Lonchura striata: one gene and its partners. The protein of the gene in region 1 interacts with the protein of each later gene in a biochemical or structural test. Links are inferred from orthologs where the notes say so. Each region holds a gene or a part of one and is shown in the gene's direction. Other genes may lie near its edges. The genes, in order: SMAD2, ZFYVE9 and ERBIN.

Region 1 (7,617 bases):
TGAGGATTACCCCAGTCATACATTTTTATCTGCCTTGAACTGATCTTTCTGTATCATAACTCAGCTCAAAGTTCTTCAATTTTTTTTTTCAGTTTAACACATCATTTTGACATGTTGGTAATAATGACCTCAACATAAAAACTATCTACTCTGCCTCCAAGACCTTTCTTGATGGCATTGCACTTTGCACTTGTTTCTACCTCTGCTACTGTTGGGCCATTCAAAAATCCCAGGTGTCTTTGAAGTTACCTGATATTGATGTTGTAGTTCCTTTGGTCACAGGCTTTGGGATGTCACCATGTATGCACTATAGCACAGCACTGCCAGCTACTGCTTCATCATGTTTTTTCAGGTCCTAGGTTTAATTCATACAATCACAGAATGGTTTGGGTTTGAAGGGACCTTGCAGATCATCTTATTCCACAGGCAGGACACCTTCCACTAGACCAAGCTGCTCAACCTCCTTTGTTCCTTTTAGCAGACAGATGACAGATACCATGGAGCTGTTGTCCCTGCACATGAAGATCCTTTGAGAGGATGTTGAAACTCTCACACACATTCAGAGAGACCCTAAGAGAGATGCTCATGTTCTTGCACTGCAGCCTCAAGTCCAAATGGGACTGACAGCCTTTTGTCCAAAATGTGCTGAGCTACCTGGTTTGAGAAATGTGTGGACCTGGAGTGAGTCCAGAGGATGCTACGGAGAAGCTCCCAGGGCTGAAGCCCCTCTGCTCTGGACCAAGCCTGGGAGAGCTGGGGATGCTCACCTGGAGAAGGGAAGGCTCCAGGGAGACCTCACTGAGGGCTTATAAAAAGACAGAGAGCAACTTTTTACACAGAAGACAGTGAAAGGGCAAGTGGAAATGGTTTTAAACTACAAAATGGAAAGACTTAAGAAAGATTTTAGGAAGAAATTCTTGCCTTCAGGGTGAGATCCTGGCACAGGTTGCCCAGAGAAGCTGTGACTACCCCTGGATCCCTGGGAGTATCCAAGGCCAGGCTGGACAGGGCTTGGAGGAACCTGGGATAGTGGAAAGTGTCCCTACCCATGACAGGGGAGTGGAATGAGATGAACTTCCAGCCTTCCAGTCTTCCAGCCTTCCAACCGAAACCACTCTAGAATTCTGTGATTAATTAATAAGACATAACAATATCCAGCTTTGGTGTCAGTGATGGAGTTTTGCTATTTGTTTTACTAAATCAAGTATTATTTCATGGAATTATAAAATAGTTTGGGTTTGGATTTGGATGAGACTTTTAAAGGTCGTCCAGTCTAACTCCCCTGCCAAAGACAGGGATATCTTCAATGAGATCAGGTGTCTGAAACCCCTGTCAAACCTGACCTTGAGTGTTCCCAGGGATGCAGCATCCACCAGCTCTCTGGCCAATCTGTGCCAGTGTTTCATCACCCTCATCAAAAAAAACCCAATCTTTCTAATTCCCAATCTAAATCAATGCTCTTCCTGGAGGTGTAGGCATACAGCTAGGAGCTCTTTCTAGAGCATACGCACATCCTGCCTGCCTGCCTTCTCCACAGCCACCCTGCTTCTGAAGCAACTTCTGGGCTCTGGGATTTAAAGCCGTGATGCTGCCTTCTTCCATTGGCTGTCTTCCTGCTGCTGCTTGCAATTTTATTTCCTAGAGAAAGGTTTATGCAAATGTTGGATTTTTGTGTGTGTGTGTATGTCAGAATCCCCCAGCATAAGCTGGCCAACCTTTTGACTGATTTCAACCACACCTGAAAGAGAAGTAGAGCTTCTGGAAACACAAAGCCTGTCAAGCTTCATGGCAAACAGCAGCTATATTAGAGAAGACACATGTTGTTAAGTGCTCTGCTGGGGAGAAAGGCAGGGAGAGCTCAGCCCTTATCAGCACTGCTTGGCTTCCTTGGCAGTAGATAAGGGGCAGGCAGCTGGCCAGCCAGAGCACACACATCCCTGAACCAGGTACAGCATGTGCTGCTCCAGAAAGAAGGCAAACACCAATAAGTTGTGTAGTAGGGAGGCTTGGATGTATCAGGAATCAACCTTGGAGATAGGAGGAGAGAGAGCTATGAATCTGTTGCAGAGGAGAGGTGAAGGGAATGTCTGACGCAAATCCATATGAAAATTGAGCTTAATTAAATTACTCTTCATAAAAAAAAAAAATCTCTCTGAATGCAGCAAAACCTCCACAAAGCAAGTGCAATGCTAGCTGAATAGTCTGTATATGTTTCCAGGCACAACATTACTGGGACACCTTATCTTCCAAAAACATGATGGCAAGCTCTCAGATGCTCTGCTTTCTCTGCAGAGGGGATCTTCTCCACTTCACTGTTGATTTCATGACCAGCTTGAATCTCAAACGTTTGGGGCTGGCTGAAAATGCTACCAAAAAAATAAGCCACGTTTGCTTCAAGCTGGGAGAATCCAGGCACAGAAGAGGCAAGAGGGGGATTTCTGTGAATCCACATTCTGTAGAAGGGCTAAATATTCTGAGGTGATTCACCTTGCTCCTGGGAATACCAGCCTTGTGGAGATGGGACCTGTGCCCTAGACACAGAATCATAACACCTACACCACTGAGTGCAGAAACCTTTTCAGTCTAGAAGATGAGCATGACTCTGGAGAGACAAAGTTAGGGAGATGTGACCTCAGGTGTAAAGGAAGTGGCTTGAAGTGAAGATAGATGATATATACTAAAGTATCAAAAAGACAAAAGCAAAAAAAACAGAGTACCTCCAACAGACTTATAGCAAATCTGGAACAGACCTTCTCATCCCCAAAAAACCCCATTAAAATCCCACCTTGTGGCTTCCCACTCATAAAATCATACAATGTTAAGGGGTTGGAAGTAACCTTAGTGTTCTTCTAGTCGTGACCCCCACTGCCATGTGTAGGAACACCTTCCACTAGACAGGTTGCCCCAAGCCCCGTCCAACCTGGCTTTGAGCACTTCCAGGGTTGGAGAATCCATTACCTCCTTGGACAACATGTCCCAGTGTCCCTCCACCCTCATAGCAAAGAATTTCTTTCTAAGATCTAGCCTAAAGATCCCCTCTTTTAATTTCTACCCATTCCCCCTTGTCCTGTCATTGCAGTTCCTGACAGAGAGTTCTTCTCTGTCTTCCTGGTGGGCCCTTTAGGATACTGGAAGGTTCTGTGAGGTCTCCACAAACTTGTCTTTCCCAGGATGAACAGCTCCAGGGAATCTGCTGGGCATCACTGCAAGGCACAACAGAGCCCCATGGGTTTCACAGACAGGTCCCCAAACATGCACTGCCAGGTAACAGGCTCTGATTTCCTTATGGTGACCCTGGGCCCCTGCTGGGGCACAGGAATTTGGTTACTTTTCACCATTACCTCAACACAAGTGGTCCAAGCATTGCAAAGACTCTTGAAGGCAGTAGCTAAAAAAACCCCCCTAACATATGGGGGGGGTTAAGAGTTTGTGAGCTTGGGGGGCAGGCAGCAGAGGGAGGCTGGGCAGGCTTTGGGGCTGCCTTGTGTCCGTGTCACACCTGGGGACAGCCACCCTGGAGCTCTTGTGCCATTGCGGGGCTGTGGGCAGTTGGAATCTATTTAGAACCACAAAATCGTTTAGGCTGGAGAAGCCCACCAAGACCTGAGTCCAGCTGTGACACCAGCACTGCCATGGCCACTGCTGATCCCTGTCCCCAAGTGCCACATCCAATGGCTTTTAAATCCCTGCAGGGATGGGGACTCCATCATTGCCTTGGGCAGGTGTGCCAGGGCAGCACAGCCCTTTCCATGAAGGAATTTTCCCAATATCCAACCTCAACTTCACCTGAGCCATTCCCTCTCCTCCTGTCCCTGTTCCTGGAGCAGAGCTGTCCCCATGGCTGTCCCCTCCTGTCAGGAGCTGTGCAGAGCCACAAGGTCCCCCTGAGCCTCCTTTTCTCCAGGCTCAGCCCCTTCCCAGCTCCCTCAGCCGCTCCTGGGGCTCAGTCCCTTCCCAGCTCCGTTCCCTGCCCTGGACACGCTGCAGCCCCTCAGTGTCTCTCTTGTCCTGAGGGGCCAGAGCTGTCCCCAGCACTGGAGGTGTCTCAGCAGTGCCAGCACAGGGACGGGCACTGCCCTGGGGCTGTGTCACACCCTGGCTGGGACAGCCCAGGGGTCACTGCCCACCGCTGCAGAGCCCAGCCGGAGCTCAGCGGCAATTCCCGCCGGGAATCCACGCACTCTTTCTCAGCTCCCGTCGCGCCCGCCGCGGAAGGATACGGAGCGGGGACAGAGCCGCACTGCGGCTGCGCTGCTGCGGCTCAGCCAAACCTCCGCTCAGCCTCCCGCGGCGGGCGCGCGCGCCGTGACTGACAGCCGACCCAACCAATCAGCGCTGCGGCCACGGCCCGCCTCCCTCCGCCTCACGCCTGTTTCTCCCACTCCCCTTCCCTTGTCTTATTTTTTTTTTAACGTTGCGGGCACTCCATTGGCGATCCTGACTGCCAGTTAGATCTCTGGACCAATCACAGTGCGGCTGCTTAGAGAGAAGGTAAATGCGGCCAATGGGCGGCCTCCCCGCCCAGCGGCGGGGGCGGGGCGTTGCGGGGGGCGGGCCCTCAGAGGAGGTAACGCTGAGGGAAGAGGCGGCGGCCGCACCGCACTCGGGGAGACGGAGGAGGATAAGGAAGGGGAGAGGAGGAAGAAGGAGGGCAAGGAGCGGTGGCTCTCGGCGGATCCTGGTGGCTCCCGGTGCGTGCTGGTGGATGCCGGGCCCGGGGTCCTTGCCCCCTGGGCAGGGTCGCCCCGCTGGCGCTGCGCGGGCCGTGAGGAACCGTCCGGGCCTGGTCCCGGCGGGGCCGGGGGCGCCTCCCTACGCCCTCGCCCTTTTTGTTGTGGTGGGACCCGGGCTAGGTTATCCTGCTCCCGCCGGCATTGCCCCCGAGCTGTGCTGGGAGGGCCGCGCTGTGTGTGTGTGTCTGTGTGTGTGTGTGGGTGAGGGGAGGGAGGAATAAAGAAGTTGTGCTCCTTCTCTCCCCCGCTGCCTCCCGTCGTGCCCGGTGTGTTTTCCTTGCAGGGGTCCGCCGAATATGCCGAGCTGGAAGGCATCCCGCGAGGATCATCGCGTCCAGCTCGTAGCGCTGCACAGGACACCCCTGTGTGCCTCCTGGACATGCAGGCAGGGTTAGGTGTGCGGCACTCCCTGGAGTTTTGGAGAAGAAAGTTGGGAGCGGTGTGGGGCGAGGAGTTGTGTTTTGGAGCTAGGAGTTTGTGTTTGGGACTGCGAGGCTTCACCTCACCCTTTTGTCTGTCCCCTCTCCTCGTCTGCAGAGCCGCGGGTGTAAGAGACACACAGCAGCCCACGTGAGACAGGACTTGAGATCACTGGTTTTATTCCTGCCTTTAAAGCTGTGTGTTGTCAGAGGGCAGAGGCAGGTGGGGTTCTGGGGAGAAATTCCTGAGAGGGCAGCGAGGTGCTGACACAGGTTCCCAGAGGAGCTGTGGCAACTCCATCCCTGGGTGTTGTTTGTAAACACACACAACCTGGTAATGTCTCATCTCTCGATAAGTGCACTGAGGAAGCTGTGTCGTGATAAGGGCAAGTGGTTGGTGTTGTTGCTGCAGAGTTGTGGAGTTCCTGTTTGTAGGGGTTTTTTCTTTTTTTTTTTTTTTTTCGTTTTGTGCAGAGTGGAGGGGAAGAGAAGTGCAATACAGCATGGTCTTCTAGTGTTCACTCTGGGGAAATAAAAGAACGGAAAAAAGCGTGTGAATGAATGAAGAGCTCTTGTGATGATTGTGGAGAGCTGTTGAGCAGCTGGGATTCAGGCTGCAGGCTGGTCTTGTGTCTCTCTGGTTGTCCGTCACAGTTTCTGACTGAGAGAAACCCAACACGTGTATTATGCTCTTTGCAAATGCTTGCGAGCGGGATAGCATTAGGAAAGAGTTTATTTACAGGGTTTGCCAAAATGAGTGTCTCCAAAAACCTTTGTGTATTGTGTGTGGAGCTCATGCTCTCACAGTCCAGGGGTATAAACGGGTTAGATTCCATCAGCAGCGAGAGGTTTATAATAGCAGCTTGTTAGGAGACCGCAGGTAGCAGCAGGTTTGTCTTTTCTCAAGTGTTGTGTCTTAGCCTGGAGAGCTGTACTTTCAAACTGATTCATGACATTACTTCTGTGGGGCCTGGCCTCTGCAGCGAGGCACTGATTAGCTGTTGCTCTGTTCTCCAGGCTGGAAAAGAAACACCCTCTGCTTGAGGTGAGAGGCCAGCAGAGCGAGGTTGCTTGTTTAGATTTTCTCATGCTTTGTCGAGGTGTTGGTGCGTGAGTGGGTTGTTTGTGTGCTCGTTCTGAGGCACAGCTTTCAAACTTCTAACGTTTACAAGCTCTGGCGAATTCGGGGGGGATGAGAGTGTGAGTAAAGGAGGTGTTTGTGAAGTCCCTTCCCCCCTTTGCTTAGCACTGTCATGATGAAAGATAACATTAGTTACAAATGCTTTTAAGAAGTGGAAGGGGAGGGTCTTGTTTAAGGTGGTTTCCACTTTAAGATGAGTCTGAGCATCTGTTGAACAGCATATTGGGGTGTTGAAAAGAGTAGCCTGGCAGCTGATTGTTGTTCTGCAGTTGTATGGGTCAGATACACAGTCAACAAAAGGAGTATGTTTGAAGATCCAGTTTTCTTTACTGAAGAGGCTGGATATGCATGATAGAGCCTTGGAGAAGAATTCATCAGCTATCCTGAGGTTCTGTTTAACAGTGAAAGGAAGAAAACAACTCAGACAATTGAAAAAATGAGGTTAAAGAATTGGTCTCTGTGCTGTTTTCTTGTTTCCTTCCACCCAGCAGCTAGATTCACCAAAATCAAATACCCTGGAATTACACAGTGAATCTCCAAATGAAAGGTTCTCCCTGGGTCCTCCTCCCTCTTCCCGTTCCACTTGATCTTTCAGAAGTCTTGAGCACCAGTTGATACAATTGAGTTTATTTGAGCTCAAAAAACCCTGCCTGCTACTGAGGGCAACTTTAAAAAACAAACCTTGTTTCCATCTCTCTAATCCCTTTCCCACAAAAGTACTGGGAGAACAGGCTTTGTGGTATGTTCTGGGTGACAATGAATCTGAGCTCTCTTGAGGCTGAAGCAAATTCCTAAGTTTTGTTTGTATAAAGAACAGTACGCAAAGTTTTAATTATTATAAAAAGTATTCCACAGTTTTCAAATGTATTCAGTGCTGCCTTAATGGTTGTGCATGTAAATGTCCTGTAATTGAAAGCATCCATTTATGGGCCTGACTTGCTAAGTGAGCTGTAAATTCTGCTTTTCAGATTGGATTTAATGACTTTTATCATAAAGCCATAAACTGGTTGTGAACTGTGCCGAGAGGCAAACAATACCTAAGCTTACTTTGCCAAAATATTTGTAATTGTTGATTTGTTAAAATGAATTGCTGCAGGTCATGCGATGGGATTAGGTTTTTGTAATAGAATGGAGAGTACAGGCAGCCTGTGCTCAATACTCTCTGGGCTAGAAGAAATTGGCTACTGCAGAAAACCTTCCTAAACATTCCTCTCCATTTCCAGTGACAGAAACTCCGTTGCAAACTGTAAGCCTTCATTCCAGATCACATTTTACTCTGATTATGTGTTTGACAGCCACAGTGTAAAGGAAGACCAAAGCAGAG
Region 2 (8,000 bases), on another chromosome or scaffold:
TCCTTATGAAGTTTGTTGTAATAATCTAAAATGGGTGCCAGAGGGAAAGACAAAAAATTGAGATGTCCTTTAAGTCCAAAGCCCTTTCTCAAGCTCCCATAGAGGTTTAAAACAGATACAGACAGATCTCTTAGAGCCTCCAGGCCAGTGTTTGGCGTATGGACAGAAAAGCTATGGATGTTCAAGATTTAGCCAGCACAGACAGTAAAGAAGTTTTAACCCTTTCAAATGCATAACCTATTGAGTTTACTGTTGAAAAGGATTGTAATATTTTTTCCTTTTTTTCTTTTTCCTTTTTTTTTTTTTTTTTTTTTTTTTTTTTTTTTAACTCCTAAGGATACATGGCACATTTAAAATTTAAACTTGACAAAATAAGAATAGGTATTCAGCATGGAATGACTCTAAACTGACTCACACAATGAGATGGTGACCTAGCAGGCCTTTTTCCTTCCAAGAGATTAAGACCTATCTGGTGGAAAATGCATCATAGATTAATTAAGTGCCCATGTATTAGTGGCTTTATCGTATGACTCACTAATACTGAGCTAACCTTAATATAGGATTCTGAGAATCTTAAGCCAAGGATTTTATTGATTTACATTGTTCTAGTGCAGGTAGTACTTGAGTTTAATGGATGAAGACTGCACAGAATTTAGAAAAATCAAAGATTCAAGACTGATGAGGTAATCAAAACGTATTGAGACAGAAACCACCGGAGCTGGGCCAGTCTCTCAGCCACTAGAGGGCAAAGCCACAGCACTGCAGTCGGCAGCGCCGTCTGCTCGCCTCTTTCTAAGGATGTTATCAGCGAGGGCGTTTATTTTACAACAAAAACTGATTAAATGATCACTAAGCCCTTCACTACGAACGGCGTTAGGAATGAATACTTAGAGTATTGTTTCTGTCAAAGTGTGGCAGGCAAGCAGTTATTAGCAACTGCGCAGAAAAAAAGCCAACATTTTCTTCCATGGAACTGTGAATAAAAGCTTCAGTCACTCAAGAGGTTTGGACTCTTAGGCTCACAGCACAGCCCTTTCCTACTCGAGATTTTGCATATCAGTAGAAGGCTGAGCACTTTTATCAGGAACTATGTTGGGAAAGTAATTAACATTTTGCTGCAAAGTTTTCTAGTTTTTTGACGGTACCAGATCAGACTGAGATTTCGGAATGTTTCAATAACAGAGTTTGGATACATCAGAGCCTTACGTGCAATCCCCTACCCAAGTCAGCCTTTGACCTTCTAATATCAAGAATTCTTGTTCTCTCTACTGGTTCTTGCCCTCTCCTGTGCAATGCATGTTTCAAGCACCTATTCTCTGCTCACACTAAATTTCCCACTGCACTTTTCAGAGATCAGGTGTGGGTCAGCTTTGGGTGGACCTGAGAGACTGCTTTGCACAAGATCAATGTGCTGTCTGTGACAGTGGCCAGAAGCAGATGCTAGAGGAAGAGTTTAGTAGCAGGAAAATCATATAGGCACACATATCAGGAGTATCCTCCCAGCTTCCAGCAATGCATGTCTCAGGCTTCCTGAGTGAGAAAAGTTATCTTGGTATGCAATATGCTACAAAGGCTTTGCCTTCTGTGAACAAGTCCACCCTTCTCTTCAACCATTGTAAACACTGCCTTCCCCACGGCTGCTCCCATCATGTGCTGAACAGCACATGAGCTGTGTCAGATGATGCTGAAAGGGATGACAGGTTGTTACTTCTTAGTGCCCTAGGAAATCAACTTCTGCATAGACAAGCAGCCAGAATTCACAGCTATAGACACAGAGTTCTACCTCCCGGGGAGCAGACTTACAGGACTGAACTCCTGCTTCTGTTAAAATTAAGTTTTTACAACCTCCTGATTTTGACATTCCCAGTGCTGGGAAATCCAGCTTGTCCCATCCTAAACTGTCCTGGTTATTAATTACCTTCCCTGGTAGAAGACCTCACAGGAAGATGAATACATCTGCATACACTCACTGAATCTTGAAGGTCCTTAAAATGTGTGATTGAGTCACCCCTATATCTTCTTTATTGACACTGAAATAGGTTGAACCTTTTCATTTTCAGTCTAAATCATTCTTATTGATCTTCTCTGAACCATCTCTTTTTCAGCTTCTATTAAGGAATTAAGGAGTTTAGGTATCAGGAGCAGTTGGATTAGTACCAGAAAAATAAATAGAGATATCTTTCTATATTCTCCTGTTTATAAGCCCAAGGATTGCATTATCCTCTTGGCTACAGCATCACACCACCTGCTTATTTTCTCCTGATTATATGTGATGATTCTTGAGGTTTTTGAGCATTAACTTATAAAAGCACAAATTCTCTCATCCTAAAATCACTCCCTCTATTCCTTGATGCATGTTTTTACATTTGGCTGTACAGAAATGCACATTACTTGCTATCAAGCTGTCTCAGCTACTTTGCAGCATGACTTGTTATTTATTAATCCCTATTGCTTACAACACTTGCAAACTCTTTAAGTGATGATTTTATGTTTTTCTTAAAACTATTAATATCAATACAATGCAGTGTAGAACTAATTGCCATAGGATGCAGAAACACATTCTTTGATGATGGCTTTTTATTTTCCCATTTTGTAACTGTCAGTTAGTTAGAGTCTCAACAGTTCAATAAGTGCTGTGATGAGTCGGTAGCATTTTGGCTTCTTAATTAAAATGCTGCAAGTTACCAGAACAAAGATTTTGCAGACCTACTTACCTTCATCAACCAAACTTGTAATGCCATTTAAAAAATAAAATTATTTTCACAAGATTTATTTTCCACATTAATTTGTAGTTATTGTGTTTCCACTCTTTAATTCTTTTTCAATCAAGTAATGTAGATAATGTCCCATTTTATTACCCAGAATTCTTGTCAGTCTGGCAGGTTGTAATTACCTTGGTCACCTTGTTTACCCTTTAAAAATATTGGTACAATATTTCATCCAGTCCTCTGGAACTTTAACAGTGTTCCAAGATTTATTGAAAATCAACATTAATGGTCTAAAGATACTCTGTGCCAGTGCTTTTAAAACTGTTGGATGCAAGTTACCTGGACCTGCTGATAGCCAACTTCATTAGCTTCTGTTTAACATCCTCCTCAGTGCTTGTTGTAATGGAATGTATTTCATCATCATATGATATTTGTGTATCATATGGCTCTTCCCCAAAAAACAGACCAGGAATAGTTATTGAGTTCTTCTGCCTTTCCTACACTGTTGTTAACTGTTCCACTATTTCTGCCTAGGAACAGAGTGAAGACAGTATGAAACTTCCTTTTCTCCAGGTTTCTGCAAGTTTTACCACATAGTTTAAAAATCCTCTTATTTGTCCTTAACTCTGCAGTTCAAAGATTACTCTGGCATAATTTTGAATTCCCTGGAACTCCTAGATCCCAGAGTACACACATTGTTACATACATCTTTGTATTGACCCTGTAACTCTGTGCTACTCCCTGCAACCAGGGCACCTCAGAGGTTCCCTTCACCTTTCTAAGTGTGGACCTCTTTCCCCCTTTCCCATCCCCTGCCTTTTGCAAATTGGAGTATCCTCTTCTCTCCTTTATGCCTTTCTCATAAAGAGCTGGGAAAAATACTTGGGAAAAGAGGTGGCAAGCTCAATAGTAAGGTGTCCCGTGGGATAGTATCAGGCACCATTTCTTATGACAGTGCTGTGGAGGCCCACAGACATGGAAGAGCTGCAGATCCATTTTGGAGAGTTTGTAACTCGGACTCTTGTGCCAAGTGAAAGGTCATGGTCCATGGTCTTACAGCCTTGCTGTGGCTTGGGATTAAAATTATTCCTTTGGTTTGTTCACAGTGTTTCTCACTATCAATATTGAAATGTTTCTTCTTCTAGCAGAGGGAGCACATTGAGAACACAGGATGGGCAATTTCCCTGCTCTAAGCTCAGGTGTCTGGCACCACAACTGCCTGGAGCAGCTCCTGGAGTTTGTGGAGTTTGCTGCTTCTCTAGATACATCTTCATTAGGAACAAGTCATGAGGCATCCAAGCTACCCAGGGGGAATGGGGAATGAGACCATCACCTTAACTCACAGAAATTATTCCCATTGCTCCTAACTCCTGTTTTGCATGCTTTCATGCTTTGCCTTCTTGCAAAACAGCCAGTTATGATACCCTTCAGGAAAAACCTCTCTGTTTTTGGTGAGAAGATATCCCAGTAAATGGCTGTATCCAGAGGAATAAAAGCAGAAAAAAATTATGGTAGCAATATGCCTCCGTGAGGTAGATCACAGATGGCAAAGCTATGCACTTGCATGCATTTGGCCAGAGGTTATGGAGTGTTATGCCACTCACTCTTTAATTAATTTCCCTTTTTTTGTCAGGCATATTGTATGTTTATCAGTCTGAGGTGCTTCATGAGAACCATTTTGAGGACAGTAATGGTGTATTGCACCAATCTGAACCCCTCATCTGTGCTTCACAAGCATGACAACACTAATTGCTAAAGAGATAGCAAGTTGGGGTTAACCAGGAATGCTTTATGGGAGTAAATAAATTCCATCTCCATTAACATGCTACTTCCAGCTATGATGGATGAGCATTTTTTATCTCCTCAGCTATTTGCCCATGGATTGATGATTCAGTTGATTGGGAGTATCTCATATTTTTCGCTTGAAAAGCACATAGTTCCACCAGAATCAATGAATAAACATTAAGTGCCTCCCTTTCATTTCAAGCAGGATGGGCTGATGCTCTTGGAGCAAGGAGGCCTAGTTTTTATCACCGGGGCTCATTACACTGAGTTCACTGACATATGTGGCAAGTTTATGGAGAAGCCCAACCTGCTGGAAAGTGATGGGCTTCCTGTAAGTGTGAAGAAGAGGGAATGGCCCTGCAACTGCATTAGCAGCCAGCACACTCACCTTTCCCTCCTTCCTGGGCTGACATGGCACTGCTGCAGCCGGGGGATCACGGACCTGCACAAAGGTGAGGGGACAGCGACTCCTTCCCATTCCCCTGGCACCAAGCGAACCTTTCCTGAGGGGGAACCGAGGTGATGGTTTCCTGAGGCGAGGGGTGGGGTGTTCCTGAGGTGAGGGCTTCCTGAGGAGGGCGATGAGGGGTTCCTGAGGCGAGGGGCGAGGGTTCGTGAGGCGCTGGGCGCTCGCTCGCCCGGCTGAGGCTGAGGCGGCGGTGAGGGCGCGTTGTGCCGCTCCGCAGCCCGGCGCCGCTCCGCAGCCCGGAGCCGGCCCGCAGCCCGGAGCCGCTCCGCAGCCCGGAGCCGCTCCGCAGCCCGGCGCCGCTCCGCAGCCCGGAGCCGGCCCGCAGCCCGGCGCCGGCCGCTCGCCGCCCGCCCCGCGCCCGCCGGGCCGCGGCACACTCGGGGAGTGACATTTCCTGGAGTTCCGAGCGCCCGCAGCAGCGAAGAGTCCCGCTGCCGGCATGGGCGGCCGCCTCCTGTTGGAGAGAGAACGGGCGGGACTCCGGGCGCAGTGTCACGCTTTGGCACTGTCGGCTCGCTATATCGCGGCTCCTGTGGGGAGCGAGCGGGGTTGTTGGTTGTTGTGCGGTTGGTTGTTTTTGTTTTTTTTCTTTCTTTTTTAATTTGTTGTGTTTATATTTTTATTTTATTTTATTTTATTTTTATTTTATTTTTATTTTTTAATTTCTGGAAGCCTCTTTGCTGAGGACTGAACGTGTCTGCCAGCGGACGGCTCCGGGCCTCGCACCTCTCGGGGCAGCCGAGGGCGTCCCGCAGGATGGTGTCCCTCTCCGATTGTGGAGACACTCAACATGAAATGGCGAAATAACACATGTTCGGCTCCCAGCTGCGAGTTCTTCTGACCAGGTTTCGTGGAGCGATCACACTACACACATTGCAGCGGCTGCCCGGAGGCGCGTCCCTCGGTCCCTCGGCCGCAGGGCACCGGCAGCGCCCGGTAGCGGCGGTGGGTGCCCGGTGCCGCCTCGGCCTCTGTGCGTGTGTGTGGCTGTGTGGCTGCGGAAGCCGCGGCCTCGGCGAGTCCCCGCGGGGACAGAGCGGGCGGCTGCTCCCGCTGTGCGGCCGCTGCGGGGGTGCCGGTGAGGACCCCGGGCCCGGTGCGGAGGTGCGGGCGCGGACCCCGCGGCGCGGGGCGGGGGCGCGGCCGCTGCGCGCCGCCTCCCCGGCGGTGCCGCAGTGCCGTGCGCTGCCGCCGGGCCCGGGCAGGGGGCGCTGCTGCCGGGCGCTGCGGCGGCCTTGGCCGCGGAGGCAGCGAGCGAGCCCGGCTGGCGGCGGCGAGGGCGCGCCGGCCCCCAGCGCTCCCGGGCGGACCCGGGAGATCCCCCTCGCCATGCAGACCCGGCGGCGCCTGCTGCCTCTCGAGGTGAGTGAGCGGCGTCCGGCGCGTCTCCCGCGGGCCCGGAAGGCCGGGGTACCCCGCTCCCCAGGCCCCCCGCCGCCCGCAGCGAGGCCCCGCGGGCGGGCGGGCGGGGAGGGCTCCGGCGCATCGGTGGAGCCGCCGTATCGCCGACAGCGCCCTGGGCCTGCCGGCTCCGGGCGCCCCCTGCCCCGCCACCCTCGTCCTCGGCACGCCACCAAGGGGAAGGCAGCGGTCGCCCCCCAGCCCTCCCCGGCGGCCGCCGTGGTCCTTCGAGCCCTCTCCCCGCCGTTCCCCCTCCGTCCCCGGGCGTCCGGACTTGGTGACCCGCTCGCCCGGGGCACCTTTCTCCCCGCGCCGGCGATCCCGGGGATGGGGAAGGAGCTGCTGCTCCCCCCGGGACGCCTCGGGTGCCGGCGCGGGGCAGGGCGAGGTTGTGCCCGGGCAGCCGCGGCTGCCGGCCCGGGCAGGGGAGGATCCCTGTTTGCATCTCGTGCCCTTTTTATGGCCTGATCTCCGCTCTCTCCCCGGGCAGGGAATGTTACTTGCTCATCGCGATGTGTAACAAGTCACTCCTGCAATGGTGGTAGTGGTGGAGGGGGATGGGGAGAGCGGGCGGGATGCGTTTTATAACATCTCTAATTACGTGAAATTGTGGTCATGTCTCACTCTAAGAATAACTGGCACTCTTGGCATGTCAGACTTTTTGCAGAGGTAGGCTAGTTTCTTGCTCATAAATGTTATGGCTAAATATGTGCCTGTGGCAGAGTGTGGCTCAATAAATGTTTTTATCTTCTTAACCAGATAGAGAAGCAAGTAGCAGATAGAAATTGTTAGACTTTATGTTTTCTTGTAAACGATCTTCTTTATTTATAGACAGGATGTTCCTTATTATTTTATGACAGAGGTTTTTCAGAGGGTGGCATTTTTACACATATTTTCATTCCGTTCAGATATTAAAAGTTAACTGAGTTTCATCAATCTTCTATTAAGTGTCTCAGATTAGAATTTCTGAATAACCCTCTCTTCAGTTTTTGGGTCCAGACTGAACTCAAACCTGGAAGGAACCGTGTAAAAACAAATAAAATAGTAATAATGAAAAAGATGGTCTACCTGAATAAAAGCCTTTCTTTTCTTTGGGCAGCATTTAACTGACTAGGCAAGGCTTTAAAACATTGTGATTAACTTCTATTAGCAAATAATTTTTGATTGCATGGAACAAACTCAGATTTTAGATACACCTTCAGTGGCTGAAACATCCAAATCCTTTGTTACTGCTTGAACCTTCTGTGTGCTTTTTATAAAGTTACGGCATGTGATGCAAAATGAGAAGATCAGTCTCCTTGACCCAAGAGAGACAAATTTAAAAATCTCTTCAGAAGTTTGGGGAATCTGAAATGGAAGCTGAAGAAGGGTCTAAAATTTCAAACAAGCCTCCCCCTCTAATTGAAGCCCTGATCAGCCCTGAACAAGTTGCCATGTTCTGACACACTGTGATTTATTTGCATTGCTTTATGGTGCCTCCTTTAGTGTGTGAGAAAGGAAGAAACCCACCCCAAAACTGCCATGCTGACTCCTGATATTGGGTGTTATTTTTGTGTGTTAGCTTTGAGTCAGTTACGAGGCTGGGGATTAAATACTTTCAAACACACACTCATTTCAGGATCTGAGGCCTGGGGCTA
Region 3 (7,157 bases), about 26 Mb from region 1:
TGACTAGAAGTTGGTAAAGCATTATTTTAGGATTTCTATTTGGACAAACAACCTCAACAGCATTTATTGCTACCCTTCTAGGATTCAAGAACATAGCAAAGGTAGTCCAAAACTACCATCAGTGCATAGGCAACATACTGAGAACATGATTTATTTTAGGCAACTTTGCAGTTGGCTCTTTCTGCCAACTTCATCTGTAACTCTTTGTCTTAAACTAGTCAGCAAAGAATTTTTGGCTATGATCTACAGATGCCAGTGTTCTCACATAGTATGGCTTCATTTTCATTCCTTTCTCTTTGTTTTCACCAGCACAAGATTTATGTGGTGGCATCAGCTGTCAAAACAGACCCTTAGGCTAAGAGGCTACAGCATAGCTTAAAATCAGTGTTAACAGACTGGGCAGGAGCAAAGCAGTCCAAATCAGGAAAGCGTAGAAGTACCTTAACACCACCTTTTTGTCCTTGCTCCTTCACATGAAATGCTCCTCTATGTCCCAAATGTTCCTCAGAAATCACCAGCTCTCCCATGCTAACCAAGGAAGATAAAAACAAGCAAAAAGTAACAGTATAATGCTTAAAAATAATTCTAAAATGTTCCTAATAATTTCTAGAACACAGCATAAAAAACATAGGTTGTGGTGTTACCAAGGTTTTCTATTGGTACTTGCATAATAATTCATCACTTTGATTATACTGTTTGAGAAACAAAGCAACCAAATACAGAAAAAAACTTATTTGTATGGTGTATTTAGCCAGTGCACATTTGGGATTGTAGTGAAGTTAGACTGAACAGAAGTTGTTTACTTAGCTTCTCTTTAAATATAGTAAAAATGCATTATGTATGTAGAAGTTATAGCAATACACTTCTAAGACTTAATTGCCACTGAATTATACCAGTTTTGTGTTAATTTCACCAGCATAAATGTGGTGTCATCCAGCTGTGAACCACGTAAATTCAGAAAATGCTACAGTAAGATATTTTGGCAAATTTAAATTATGGAATATTTAAAATAAACTTCAATATATACTTGTTAAAGAAAAAGAATTACTTATTGCCTCTTCGTGTCTTTAATGTGGTTATTACTTCCACTAATTATTATTTAATATTTGTATTGCAGTCATGCCCAGAAGTTCCACTTCAAATCGATTTGAAATCCACCATTCAAGTCATTACCTGAGCATTTAATAAGCAGAAGTGCTTACCCCAGAGGCCTTTCAATCTATTTCCTAGAAAAGTGGAAACATGCAATCATAATGAACAACAGTAGTAAGAATAGGGGAAAGCAGCAATTAAACCCTGTCACTCAGAAGAAACTATGTAGTAATTGTTCAGACCACTTAACTCCTGAGAGAGAAACATACAGGTGACTGTTTCACCAAATGTTCTTTTGATTTAGCTGCAAGTTGTTGCAGTATTTACTAGTGCTCCTTTCAAATATAAAAATAGAAATTAAAATGAGAGGAGTTTGGGCTTCATGTCCAGCATGAAAGTGTGTATACAGGAGTTGTTTAAATGTTCAGTGGGATCAGATGCAGAGTCTCACTTGAAAGACTCATTTTGTAACTTTGTGCACCTACTCTGTAATTATTTGGTAACTGGGATACCAACTGTGGGAATTAATATTGCTGGGGACTCTGTTTTGATATTTATAGCACATTTAGATCCCTAGGATAACTCCTGGTATTTTCTTAATTTGTACATATAGTTATATCTTGTCTATGCAAAATATCTTCAGTAGCTGTGCTCCAGCTAGCTGTAGTTTCAGCAGACTTTGGAAAGGCTTTTATTTTGATGGCTAAAACTGTAAGTGAAACAGCATCTTACATTGCAACTAATGTTAACACCTATGGGAGATTCACCATCTGAGCAACAGCTACTATTCTCATACCTATCTATTATTCTACTGAATTAATAAATGCACTGGGCAATTTGCAATAAACACTTCCAAAAAATATTTTCACATTAAAAAGTTGTGATAATTCACATAAGAAAGTACCTTGAAGAGTTCATGATGGAGGGCATCAGTTGCAGAGAGCTAGTCACATTATGGTAAGGATATGTTATGTGGTGCATGACAGGAATGATCAATCATTTGCAAGAGATTTAAAAAATTAATAGTTTTATTATAGACACAATGTAGGGTACCACTGCAGGGCACTGTAGTGAGAAATTCTAAATCTGTTGTCAGTGGGGGTAAAGTTCTCTTGCTTGGACTTAGTCCAAAGCTGACTCATTTGAAGAAAATGGCTTTTCTGAACAAGAAGAAATAGAAGCGATTTAATGTTTTGGAAAATATCTATATATACACATACAATTCTCTTTTTTATAAACTCTGATGACTACATTTGATTTAGTTTAATTATTTAAATTTAGGCAGAGATGTAGTCCCCAAAGTAGGGCTGTATGCTCTGTGAAGGTGGAGAAAAGTAAAGAAACGGTAAGTGAGTATTATTATCATAGTAGGAATGCATGCTTATTTTTTGGATCTGGATACAAGCTGGATACTTGAACGTACAATTCCCATATATAGGCAAGAAGTTTAAAATTAATAACTATTGTTGAACACAATGTCTTAAACACAGTGGACTTTCATAAAAATGTGATCATCTTTATGTTTTGTTGCTAAAGGTTAAACCCTTCATTCAAAACCCTGTAAGAAAATAGATGAAGCAAAGAACGATCCTGAACAGGAAGTATCAATTTGAGTTACTGTCAAGGACTGGTAGGGGTGTAAAGGACTTTTCTCATCTAGTCCTATGTTAAAATCAGGGACAGGTCAATAGTAACATGACAAAGCATTTCCCTTGCTGTTCAATGGCTCATATAACACTTCTTAGCATTTTGCCAATTTCTCAGTAAACCGATTATCATCATAAAACACTACTCCATCTTAGTTGGTGGCAGTCCCAGTAGAGTAGCCAGGGATTAAATTAGTGTGAAAACAAAACTACCCCTCTCCTCAGATTTGGTCTCTGCTGAGCACAATTAAGGAGCATAAGGTGAGCAGCATGCACAATTCCACCCTGCTGTCAGCTTCATGTGCTCTGTTATGGCTGAACAGAACTCCAGGCTCCAGGACACTTAAAATGGCATATTGCATACACAATAGGTTATCAAATACCCATTTCGAACAATCCAGGAAATTAAAAAGAAACTCACTGCTTCTGTTCAGATCACACCTGTACTACTGCAATCCAAACCCAACCAATACCAAAGCCGTGTGATCTGTGTACTGCCTGCTTTTCAAACATGACTCTTGTCAGTCAACACGCATTTTCAGTACCGTTGTAACGTACTGACAGTGTTGAAATATTTGGAAGAAAAAGTACAGCAGTGTTCCAGGGTTTACGTGAAACATTGTGACAATATGGGCGGCATTATTTTAATTGTTGTTGTTTGTATCCAAGTTTAACGTACCATACCCAAACACCAAAGCGTGGGTGGAGGCCGTCAGTGTTTCCCTTGGGTGTGTTCGTTCTCTCAGATCTCGGTAGCTGCGAGTCAGGCAGCACAAGGTGCGGGGGCAGGGGTCGGGTGGCCACGAAGGGGCAATGGCCAGCGCCTGATGGCGTGAGCCGGCGCCTCAGCGCTTTCTGCAGAGGGTGTGCAACCATTAAATTACGGAGCTGAGCTGCTAACGAGGAAACTTCCGTCACTCAGGTGTGAATTTGTCAGTGCGACTGACGCTCTGCCGCAAAACCACACTGGGACAGGCCCCACACCGGGCAGCAGCGGGTGGAGCCATTCCGCGGCGGCGAAACGCAGCCCCCGCCCGGCGCCGCTGCCGCCCGCCCCCGCCCCGCCGCGTTCCTGCGCAGCCCGCCCCGCGGGCCCCATTGGCCGCAGCGCCCGTCCCTCACGGCCTTCCCCAGCCCGGCGCGGTCCGCCCGTCCCTCCTCCCGCCCGCCACAGCAGCGCGGGCGCGCCCGCCGCTCCCGCTCCCGCCCGGTCCCGCTCCCGCTCCCGCCCCCGCCAGGTCTCGGCCCGGCTCCGCGCCCGCCCCGCCCCCCGTGCCGCGGCAGTGCCTCCCCCGTCTGGCCAGCGCTGCGCGGCGCCGGCAGCAGCAGCGGCGCGGCGGCTTCGCCCGCGGCCACCTCCCCTTCCCCCCGCCGCGTGTCTGCCCGGGACGTTCATTCCCTCTTCCCACAGCTCCGCCGCCTCCCCCGGCCCCCCGCTGCCGAGGCCGGGGAGGGGGGCGGGAGGCTGAAGCCGCGGGAGAAGGGGGAAGTGTGCGAGAGAAGGCGGGGAGCGCGGGCGGCGGCGGGCAGGTGAGGCAGGCGCCATCCCGCTTCCCTTCAGCCCTCGGCGGTGGCGGCCGCGCTCGGGCAGCGCGATCCCGGGCGCGCAGCCGGCGGCGAGCGGCGGCGCCCATGGCGGCGAGGGGCGGCGGCCGCGCCGGGCCGCGCCGGGCCGCGCCGGGCGGTGGGGGCGCTGCGGTGTCGCCGCCGGGCGGGGCCGGCGCGACGTGGGGCCGGCCGCGGGGAGACCGGCGGGGCGGGAGGAGCCCGGCTGCTCTGGAGCCCTCTCCCCGTGCGCACGAACTCCCTCGTCCTCGGCGAAAGCTGCTAATATTCCTTCTCCTCCTCTCCCCGTTCTCTGCCCTCTTTCTCCGTGAAGAAGGAAACTCGATTGGATTTAACTTGGGGTCGGAAGAAACTCCTGCCTCCTGGATCTGGTTTCGGCGCCCCGACACCTAAGGTAAATAGGGAAGGCTTGGGATCAGCAGCAACAAAAACAACAGAAAAATCCTTCCTCTGGGAAGGGGGTGGAGAAAAAAGCAAGGAGTTCAGGCTTCGTTTTATATCCTGTTTTTGGCCTTTATATTTTGTCTCTGTTTTCCGCCTTGGCCTGCCCTGTTAGCTGCTCATTGTGTTTCTCACCGTCTCGCCTGAACGTGTGAACCGAGGCGCTGGTTTCATGGAGGCCGGGAAAGAGTGTGAGACCGAAAGTTTTTAATCTCATCGGACACAGAAGTTTCTTTGTTCGGTCCGAGAAGGCACTGAGCTGAAACTGCTCGACTGCGTAACTGCTTCTTCAGCTCCCTCCCTTGCAAAACGTTTGGTAACCCTGCGAGTACAATTAAGTTATCGGGAAATGAGAAAGTCATGAAGGAGGTAATATTTCTTTTTAATCGAAAGCTCTTGATGCTTCGTGCTTATGTCTGAGTTGTTTTCTAGAATATCGGTTAGTGGCTGGCCGGACTTCTTCAGGGTTGCTGTTGAGTTTCTTTATAAAAATACGCCCTCCTGGTCATCCGTAAATGTCGCAGTTTTTCCACCTTCGATTGCTGCAGTCACCCGTCTTCTTCCCCTTTACCCTTTCTGTTCTCAAATCGACGAGTTGGACTGCTTATTTTTCAGTTTGTGCAGTGGAGGTCTATCCTGCATTTTGATCCTGGCAAAGTTCATCTTAAGGACCTTCATTTAAAACAAAATACAGAACAAAACCAAAGCAGATAGCTAGTTGTCTGACTTCTTTAAAATGCATGCAATTGGAGCTGTTAATGTAGCCTTGTTGATTTTGGTGACCACTTTCACCTTTCTAATTTTTGAAAGAACTAATTTTTGAAGCTGTTGAAGAGGAAATTAAATGCGAAGTTTTAGTGTAAGATTTTGTACCTCTAGTGCTTGTTATACCAACTAACTAGATGCACGTTTATTTTTCATGCATCAAAGCGACAATTATAGGTTAGTTCTTTCGTGGAGGCAAGGAGTTTCTCATATTGTGAATGTTTAGAACAAGGTAGAAACCGTAGCTCTGGAACGTTTGTTTCTGTTTGTCAAACTCAGAAGCAACATGTTGGTCAGATAGGATGTGTATGCTTCAGTCTTGCCAATGTGTGACATGTACTGGTATTTGGGAGTCTTGGACAAAGTAATTTCTGTGCAAAATTTTTAACACTCCTACATAGGTAGGAGTATCGTTCTTTAACATTGTGAGTAATTTAGTGCTTTAAGAAAAAATAATCCAACTCCTTCTGGTTGGTATAGTGTAAGAAAAAATGTTAACATATAAATGTCTAAAGTGGGTTCAGTGGTTGATAACTAATAAATTATTTGACTTGCAATTTATAGACTTACCTTTCCAGGCAGCAGTAAGGGTTATTCTTAGGCATCAGAAAGATCTGGACAAAATAAGTGGCAGTGAACTTTGCTTTCCTTATGTGGCTGATGCTTGGCAGAAAGTCTGAATAGAGTAATCCTTTTACAAAGAACCATCCCTTTCTAGAGCAGTGTTTCAGTCCCAATAATGACTTGAGATTCTTGAGGGGAGGGTGAGGAGTTGTAGCAGTGCATGACAAATTTAGTTGTAAACCAGTATGTTCATAATCAAGGCAATTTTGTTTCTTTTCAGGCCTTTTGTGTCTCTCATGATGCACTTGATATTTTTCAATGCTGTGTAGAAGAATGGTTCCTTGTAGTGGAGGCACAACTTCTTACGCTAGTGTTTTGTCACCATGGTAGCTATGGATAAGGCCCTTTTTAATGACGAAAGTGTGATTCAGTTCTGCTTACAGCTCACGCTTATATCATTGAATGCCATTATGGCATTAACATAATTTGGGAGTAACATGAAGGGATGTGTTCTTTCTTGAGGTCAATGATCGCAACTAAAAATCAGTCTGACATTGATATTCTTATTATGAACAAAATTATTTAACCTTACACATAGTAGCTCATGTGCTTGAAACAGCACTTTTATAGCTATGCGTTGATGGCTTGGGGAAATGTTCTTTTGACCTGACCGGTTCTTATTCATGAATTAAATTAAGCTTGAGTAAACATCAGTAATTTTAGGAAGGAATGCTTGCAATCAAAGAGATAGAATTTGCAGTATATGGCATACTATGGAATGCGATTATCATTAAGATGATAATTATATTAGTAAAATATGAATAGATTTGTCTTATGCATAAGCTGCACAGTTGATAATACTTAGTGTAAGCATAAAGCTCTGTAGGGTATCAATTTGCACATCATGTTCATATAGAATGGATAAGGGGGCTCTGTGGAGAAAATACTAAAGGACAGTTTCTTAATATATTAAGTCGGTGGTCTCAGAAAACTGTGTTATGATTTGTTCTTGGCGGAATTTGTTGAGAGTCTTTACTCGTAGTCATTAAGAGCCATGCTTGGAAGATCAAAGCTAAGGAAAGC

The links.
Region 2: the proteins of SMAD2 (region 1) and ZFYVE9 are reported together in a solved structure, tested with the Homo sapiens proteins (2 studies listed by BioGRID and IntAct, with this or other methods). The link is inferred for Lonchura striata from reciprocal best matches to the Homo sapiens genes SMAD2 and ZFYVE9.
Region 3: the proteins of SMAD2 (region 1) and ERBIN form a complex in vitro, tested with the Homo sapiens proteins (2 studies listed by BioGRID). The link is inferred for Lonchura striata from reciprocal best matches to the Homo sapiens genes SMAD2 and ERBIN.

What each region holds. Positions count from the first base shown.
Region 1 is NC_134642.1:2,222,655-2,230,271, forward strand, and holds the start of SMAD2 (mothers against decapentaplegic homolog 2), read left to right. Parts: upstream 1-4,563; 5' UTR 4,564-4,691; intron 4,692-7,617. UniProt on the Homo sapiens protein: Receptor-regulated SMAD (R-SMAD) that is an intracellular signal transducer and transcriptional modulator activated by TGF-beta (transforming growth factor) and activin type 1 receptor kinases.
Region 2 is NC_134611.1:9,886,148-9,894,147, reverse strand, and holds the start of ZFYVE9 (zinc finger FYVE domain-containing protein 9), read left to right. Parts: upstream 1-4,906; 5' UTR 4,907-4,945; intron 4,946-6,195; exon of another isoform or gene 6,196-6,324; intron 6,325-7,014; exon of another isoform or gene 7,015-7,032; intron 7,033-8,000. UniProt on the Homo sapiens protein: Early endosomal protein that functions to recruit SMAD2/SMAD3 to intracellular membranes and to the TGF-beta receptor.
Region 3 is NC_134642.1:27,979,491-27,986,647, reverse strand, and holds the start of ERBIN (erbin), read left to right. Parts: upstream 1-4,152; 5' UTR 4,153-4,268; intron 4,269-4,465; exon of another isoform or gene 4,466-4,617; 5' UTR 4,618-4,698; intron 4,699-4,860; 5' UTR 4,861-5,114; intron 5,115-7,157. UniProt on the Homo sapiens protein: Acts as an adapter for the receptor ERBB2, in epithelia. By binding the unphosphorylated 'Tyr-1248' of receptor ERBB2, it may contribute to stabilize this unphosphorylated state.